Linked DNA regions of Coturnix japonica. The protein of the gene in region 2 purifies or fractionates together with the protein of the main gene of each other region. This does not show direct contact. Links are inferred from orthologs where the notes say so. Each region holds a gene or a part of one and is shown on either strand. Other genes may lie near its edges.

Region 1 (4,342 bases), on a different chromosome or scaffold from region 2:
TGCGGTGGTCCCTGCCATGTGCACCCCATCCCCATCCACAACGGCAGCACTAAGTAAACAGTGCCAGGGGATCCTCGTTAATCCTGATCATTCATTTACAAAAAGCCATTTAGAGCCGGCTATGTGGGCAGCTATCAGAGCACTGGGGAAGGTTTCCCAGCAGGACCTTAATTCCCTCTGCAAATAAAGCCGGAGGGAGGGAGAGCACAGCTTGTGTCTGTGCTGGGCTAGTGGATGGGGTTGTGGGGGGGACTTATGGGGCCAACCCTTAGGGACTGATCCCAACCACCTTACAATGAGCCAAGGGCCGAGCTCTGCTGCTTCATCTTCACCTTTGCTCCTTGGCAGTATTTGGGAGCCCAGCACCCCAAACCTCCCATTGCTGAGCAAGGGGGCTGCGATGCCATTTGAATGCTGCATCCAAACAGCACGGAGCCATCAGGTTCTGATCAGATCCCAACCTGCAGCTTTAGAGCAGCGCAGCAGCTTTGCTCGGTGCCAAATGGACTCAGCAGCCCCAACCAAAGCACGGTGCCAACTCGGCCGTTGGTGACACCCTCCCATGGAGCAAAAGGAGCAGCATTCCTCCATGCACTGCTGACTCACTGCCTTTCATCCTCCGCAGGCGGCAGCTTCGGCGCGGAAAGAGATTGTTGGCGGGGTGGGAAGGCGGCAGCAGCAGGCGGGATGGGATATAAACTGTGTTATTGCCTTTCAAGATGCAAAGGGTGGCTGAGGGGAGCAGCAGGGCCGTGTCACAGTGCTCATATCTCTGCCTGTGTGGTGCCACTTTGGGGCTGTGGGGTGGGAATACATTGCCCTTCATGCTGGTCGGCACACAGCTGTGTGATAAGGTGGATCATAAAACCCACCTGTTGTTGAATAGAGACCCATTGGGCTGCCTCAGCCTCACCAAGCACAGGGTGGGCTGATAAGGGGAAGATAGATGGGGACACAGGTCCAGCCCCTATAGCAGGAGGTTGGGGTGCTTGGTTTATGGCACACACAGCAGGTCTGACAGCAGCAGAGGGTGCTGGGTCACACTGGGGCATTCCCTGTCGTGCATCCCCTTCCTGCAATGGGTGCATTTCCTAGCAGCACACAATAGCAGCGCACACTGAGCTGCTGCATTTCCTCCTTCTATGGGCAGCCCCTGTATGAGCCCAGTGCAGTGACAGAGCACAGGGGGGTGGGATGTGCTCTGTGATGCCATACAGTAAGTAGAGCAGGACTGGGCCCAGCCATGGACCCAACCCTCCTGCAGGACCACTGGTCTCCTTCCAGGTGCCCGCCCTGGAGCCGCTGGGACCCCCTCGTGTCTTTCAGTGCATTGGGGTCACTCTGCACATCCATCCCGGCAGATAAAGGGTGCCATATTAGGACACACCACGCCCCTCCCAAGATGGCGGCGCAGCCTGTACGCCACACCCAAGGTGGCGACCAACAATGCGCATGCGCGTTACTCCCCCAATCCTCTTTCCGGTTCCTCTATGCCGGAAGCCATTCTCTAGATAGCGCTTTGGCTTTCTGCGCATGCGCAACGTGCCTTGCCGCACCCAAAATGGCGGCGCGGTGGTGGCCGGCCGGAAGTGAGTTGTGGTAGCGGGGTTTGTGTGTGGAGCGCGGCCCTGGCGCCCCGCAGCACCATGATCCCAACAGAGGAGATGTCGGCCCGCAGGAGGGAGATCGAGGACAAGCTGAAGCAGGTGGGGCTGGGCTGGGGTCAGTGCTTGGAGGTGGGGTTGGGCCTGCGGCTATCAGGGGCCTGTTATGTCTCCTCAGGGTTCATGGGTGTCTGTGTGCGGCCTACCCTGTGCTCGGTCTCCCAGCTGTGGGTGTGTGACCCTCGTTTGGTGTATAGTGAGTTCAATGCTCGATGGTCTGAAGTGAAAACTGCTTTTTATCGTGACTGCAGGAAGAAGAAACGCTGTCCTTTATCAAAGAGAGCCTTGAGAAGAGCGACCAGCTCACAAAGAACATGGTGAGGAGCTCCTGGAGGTGCAGCCTTAATGTTGGGTCAGGGGCTGTTCATCCTTAGGTAGACTCATGTTTAAGGGTGGTGTTGTACTTGTCTGAGCAATACAGAGTAATAAATCACTTGCTTTTACACCCCACAGGCTGGTTTCCAACCCATACTTTCCCTCCTTGGGAGGTGTGGGTGCAAAGCAAAGGCTTCATGTCCTTACAGTCTGTCCTTTCTCTTCTTGAAAGAGCTGCGTTTTGACCCAGGAGGGATGATGTGAAGTCACCCTCTGTGGGCTTATTTTCCACAGTTCAGAAGTGACAGACCCTTTTAAAAGCCAAATACTTGCAATGTAAAAGGACATTAATGCCACAATGTGCCTTTGTGTTGTCTCTGTTTTACATCTTAGTATTATGGAGCAAAGTGGCTGCCAGGTTGTTTTTATTGATCTCTTTTATCTAAGGCACCTCCAGGCATTTCCAGTGGCTTTGTTTCTTGCTATCAAGTCAAGTTTTGCTCTCCCTTAGTGCTGTTTTGCATGCTTTACAAATGTAAGGATGGTCTATCTTTGACAGCAGGTGACCTGTATTGTAATTATTCATTATTCATTAGGACATAGAAAGTTTAAACAGCCTGCCTTAAGGGGCCATGGAACAGAAGTGGGGCCTGAAGGTGCCTAATTGCCCTATTCTAGCTACTAACCCGTAGTGTGAATTCATGTGGAGGGATGTCCTCAACTCTTTTTTTCTCTCTTGACATGTAGGTTTCTATCCTTTCCTCCTTTGAAAGTCGTTTGATGAAGCTGGAGAACTCGATCATCCCTGTCCATAAACAGACAGAGAATCTACAGCGCTTGCAGGAGAACGTGGAAAAAACCTTGTCCTGCTTGGATCATGTCATTAGTTACTACCATGTGGCAAAGGACACAGAGAAGATCATAAAGGAAGGGTGAGTTTGGTAGCTAGGTCTTGCTGGGGTGCTTCATCCTGTCAGTTCTTGGGGCAGAGGTAGGCGCTGACTCCACACACTTTGTCTTTTTCTTCTTCTGATCCTTTTTATTTTTGCTTTTATTTTTAGCCCCACTGGGAGGCTGGAGGAGTACTTGAATTGCATGGACAAAATCCAGAAAGCAGTGGAATACTTCCAGGACAACAATCCAGACAGCCCGGAGCTGAACCGTGTGGTAGGTCGCAGGTCTGGAAGCTTGCATGGGTAAGATAGGAACAGCCATAACCCTGCCACTTACCCTCTGTGGGCAGTGAGAGGCTGGTGGGCTTGCTGCCTGATAAAGAATGTGTTTGGGCACAGCTGAAGAAATGATTGCTTTGGTTTCTGTCCTAGCCCGACAGCAATTTTGCTTGGTGATATTTTGTTCTTTTCATGCTTTATATACTGAGCAACTCCCAGGCAATTCCATATGTAACTAAGTCATTAAAAGTCTCTTAGCTACAGGCACTGGAGTTTGAAGCATGCAGTACTTGACAGTGATTAGAAACGCTGCAGAAAGTGCAATCTCATGCAGAAAGACTTGTGAGTGACTGATTACAACAACCCTGTTCTGTCCTCTGCTGGTTTGTGCCAGAAATCCCTCTTTGAGAGGGGAAAAGAGTCCTTGGAATCAGAGTTCCGCAGCTTGATGACGCGACACACCAAGCCTGTCCCACCCATCCTCATCCTGGACCTGATCAGTGGAGATGATGAAATGGACACACAGGAGGAGATGGCACTAGAACACCTCCCAGAGAGCGTCCTGCACGACGTCATCCGTATCTCTGGCTGGCTGGTGGAAAATGGCAGGAATCAAGGTGGGCAGAGCTGCGTGGTGTTCCCTTGTAGTTTTGTATTGAGTCAGTGCTCTCCACTGGTCATCACCTGAGGGCCTGAGGGCAGGGTGTTGGAGCTGCAATCCTCTAGTGCTCAGATATCACAAATGTGCAAGGAACTATGACTTTCTCCCTCTTGTGAATGATTAATGAGCAAACCGTTTTTAATTAAACGTGACCAAAGAGGGCTATAAAAGCAGCACAAAAATATTTTCTTCAGTCAATATATCTCCTTTCTGTTTTGCAGCATCAGAGTTTACCTGCATCCTTATATTCTATTACTGACTTTTCCTTTGGTTTGGAATGACTTAGTGGACCTGTTACAGGAAGGCTGTTCTTTCACATACATGCAGCTACTAGAGCTACCCCCACTGCAATGATTTAATTCTGAGTGGGGATTACTGTGCCAAGCAAGTGTGACAAACAGCCTTAAAAGCTGCTTAAGAATTTTTCCATGATGAAAGGAAGTAACTGAAGTATATATGGCTCATTCTCATTAGTCAGTTTATATTCTGCTTTCAGACAGTGAACCCCCCCCCCCCCATTTAATCTCTGT
Region 2 (3,561 bases):
TTTTTGAGCTTGACTTACCCAACTAGCAGCTGCATCTTTGTATTTACAATAAGAAATCCTTATTGATTGCAGAATATCAGACTTGCATCCTCTCAGTTCCAGTGCTTTTACCAGCAGTGTTTATTTTCTTGTTAGATAAACATTCTTCTGATCTCCAAAGTTTGCGTAGGCACATTTACTTTCAGAAAATTGTAGTATGTGTATAACTGTACAGTGGTGTGAAACAGTAGTATTTGTAAACAAACCCTTAACTCAGTTTTTCTACATATTAATGCAACTGAACTTTTGCTTTTTTTTTTTTTTTTTTTTTAGTCTGCAAGCAGGAGGTGGAATAGAGTTATGCTGGAAAAATGCATAGGAAATAGCATTTGAGAGTACAAGTCTGTTTTTCTTTTAATGGTAGAAAAGTGTTTCCTACGTTTTCTTCTGCAGAGAAGTTAGAGTTCTATAGCATGTTGAATTTTTTATCCTTAGCTCTATTTGTAAGAAAGTACATTTCTCCCATGACTTGTTGTGTTTGGAAAAGCAGAGTGCAGGCCATCTGTCCTGGCCTTAAATGATGATCAAATAGAAATTATCCAATGTAAAGGTACTCACAAATGAAATCTGAATCTTAGATTTGCAGATGAAAGCAGCTTTTCAACAGAATGTCTTTTCTGATGTTCTGCACCAAGGATTTTTTTATTAAAAAATAGTAAACGATTACTATTTCAGTGTAATATTGTGCGTATGAGGTGAACTACTGTCAACGAGATTACCAGCGCTATTAAGAATGAGTAACACTGCAAACTCATAGTTGTAAGAAATGTATGTTTTTAATTCTGGTACTAACTTTGACCTCATATTGTCTTCTGTATAAACTTACCCTCTGTAAAGCTGTTGCTAATCAAGCATTAATCAGCTGTTAAAAAAAATCACTGCAAGATTTGGCTGGAATAGTAAACTGTGATAGATGAGCCTCGCATTAAGCTTTTTGAAGAGGAAAAAAGAATTGAGTACCTTGTTCAGAGGTTTTATTCAAGTGTTACAGATGTAACAATTTTTTTTATCTTCATTCAAACAGTATTGTTCTGTTAATCTGATGAACAGACTAACTATTTCTGAGTCCCACGGTTTTGAAACATCTAAGCAAAACAGTTTAGCTTATGAAGAGTTGTATTATTTGTTTAGAATGTTTATTAAAAAAAAAGTACTAAAGGAATAATCTAAATAAGACAAAGGTAGCAAATCAAAATGAAGATGTGCAGACATCTAAGCAGCTGCTAATATCAGCAAGACATGCTTTGTTTCAGAACAAAGATGAAGAAGCAGTTCCAGGGACACTGTGGCCTAAGTATGACAGTTTAGAAGTACAAACTTCTTTTGTATAAACTCGTATGATATAGATTTGTAGTATATACTCATTGTTCATCCTACTGACTTATAGATTATACTGGAAGCATGTACTTGTTCTGATTTAACAAAGGGAGTCGAGAAAGCCATCAGGTAGATTATCTTTAACTAATGAAGTGGAAAATTAAAACACATGCTGTTGCACAGCAGAGGATAGGAGTGAGAACTGTACACTTGTTCTTTATCAAGTTTTCATAAAAGTTTATTGAAGATCTATTGAAAATACTTGTTCACAGTAAAATACAGAAAATACTTGATCACAGTAGAAAGTATGACTGCTGTGATCACTTGTGGTATATATTCAGTAACTATGTGGCTAATGCAGGATTCCAATTTGAAATCATATATTGCAGTAATTACACTTCATGAAATTAGCCTTTTGCTGGAGTTTAGCCACAGGATTGTTTTCAGAACAGCATTTTGACACTGAGCCCTCTGTTCCATTAACACTGGTGTCACAGAGTTACCTCTATATCTGGTTGAGCTGTGTAGCAGAGTGCACAGCTGTGGTGTTGTATTGCTCCTTGAATTGCCCAGCAATCTTGTGAGTTCAAGAATATGACAGCCAAATTTTAGATTGTTCAAGAAATATAAAGTGATCTTCATTTGAGTGGTACTGATTTTCAGGAAGCACACGAGCAAAAAGGAGTATAAACTTAGCTTGCTCTTAAAGAGATTGATTTATACTGCATGTCCTAAACTGCTTAACTCATAAATGTGTACTGAAAATGTGTGTGTGCTTCAGAGACAATGATGGAATGTATGTCAGCTGAAGCTTTTAAGATGCAACTAAATTGGTTTAATAATAATCATATGCACTTCCATGTCAGATACCATTTTGTCAGACTACCCCTTTGCTGCCATTTGTCACATGGCAACAACATACAATAGAATATTGGCAGGGAGGTTCAGCTTCTACAGTCATACCACTGACACTGCCTCTGATGTTATTGACCAAGAGAATAAATGGGAGGCATTACTTCAGAGCTGCCCTAATACTTTGGTCTTTTTTCTGTTTCTCTGAATGGTATGCTGTCTTTTCTCAAGTTTTGGAACCTCTGTAATACATCTGTATTGTGCTTCTAGAATTATTTTAATACTTTCTCTTATTCAAGGGTCACGATCAGAGTTCTACTCTTGCCCAGCACTCTGTTGAGTTGACGCTACCCAATCACCATCCATTTCACAGAGATTTGCTTCGCTATGCAAAACTCATGGAGTGGCTCAAGAACACAGATTATGGAAAATATGAAGGGTTAACAAAGGTATGTGAAGTGCTTGTTAATGCTACAGAATTTACACAGTAGACTGTTTTGAAATTTAAGAGTTACCTGTGACTATGTGTATGCTCTGTTAATATTCCTTCATGCTAAATTCACTGTTCTTTTATTTCTCTTTGGAATAAGAAATGTCATGTTCAGTAGTTGTTGTATGACAGTATCCTGTATTTGTTTTTTTTTTCCTAAGATGTTTTGTCTGTTCTGAAGTGTCGTTTGACATTAACCCCTGTGTAAAGCCAGTTTACCATTTTACAGTCTAGTAAGATAAATAATTAAGCTATTTTCATGTTGATGTGCTTGTTCACCTTTATGACATTTTTATCTCAACAGCCTTTATTCTCTTAATTTCATTTGACTGTCAAAAACTTCAGAAGGTTTTTTGTAAAGTAGGTCAAATAGGGACGTTTTGGCTTTGCGTATGTAATTGTTGACTGTCTTGCATAAAGCTTAGATGAAGTGGAAAAAAGTGTTCAGAGGTCAGAGGAAGATTGTTCCTTAACTTCCTTTGGCAGTGTTACAAACTTGAATTTGGAATTCTTTGAATCTTATAGTAAGCACACAAAGACTGCGCATCCTGAAGTTGTTCAGGTCTTTTGTTTTTGTGCTGAAGGTGTAATTAAGGAGGACAATGGAGGATGTTTAGGAGTGGCATGCTACACTGAGACTGTGAACAATGGAGCTGAATTCCCCCCATTCTACTCTTGAATTAAATTCCATAATGCTCTTCCATCTGTAATCCTATCTGCATCTGTCACACTATACATGTTTCCTTGCAGAGGTGCAGTAGTGGTTTCTGGGGACATATGACATACATCTGTACAGTCCAAAACAGTTAATAGTTATTCAGTAGAACTTGCACTGTCATGCTGTTTTATTTTAAGATCTATTT

The links. The genes of interacting proteins can lie anywhere in the genome.
Region 1: the proteins of EXOC1 (region 2) and EXOC7 purify together in Homo sapiens (affinity purification with mass spectrometry; 4 studies listed by BioGRID and IntAct, counting the BioPlex papers as one, with this or other methods). This does not show direct contact. The link is inferred for Coturnix japonica from reciprocal best matches to the Homo sapiens genes EXOC1 and EXOC7.

Annotation. Positions count from the first base shown.
Region 1 is NC_029533.1:3,918,556-3,922,897, forward strand, and holds the start of EXOC7 (exocyst complex component 7), read left to right. Parts: upstream 1-1,536; 5' UTR 1,537-1,646; coding exon 1,647-1,706; intron 1,707-1,915; coding exon 1,916-1,981; intron 1,982-2,726; coding exon 2,727-2,911; intron 2,912-3,040; coding exon 3,041-3,146; intron 3,147-3,545; coding exon 3,546-3,768; intron 3,769-4,342. UniProt on the Homo sapiens protein: Component of the exocyst complex involved in the docking of exocytic vesicles with fusion sites on the plasma membrane.
Region 2 is NC_029519.1:58,597,716-58,601,276, reverse strand, and holds part of EXOC1 (exocyst complex component 1), read left to right. Parts: intron 1-2,507; coding exon 2,508-2,657; intron 2,658-3,561.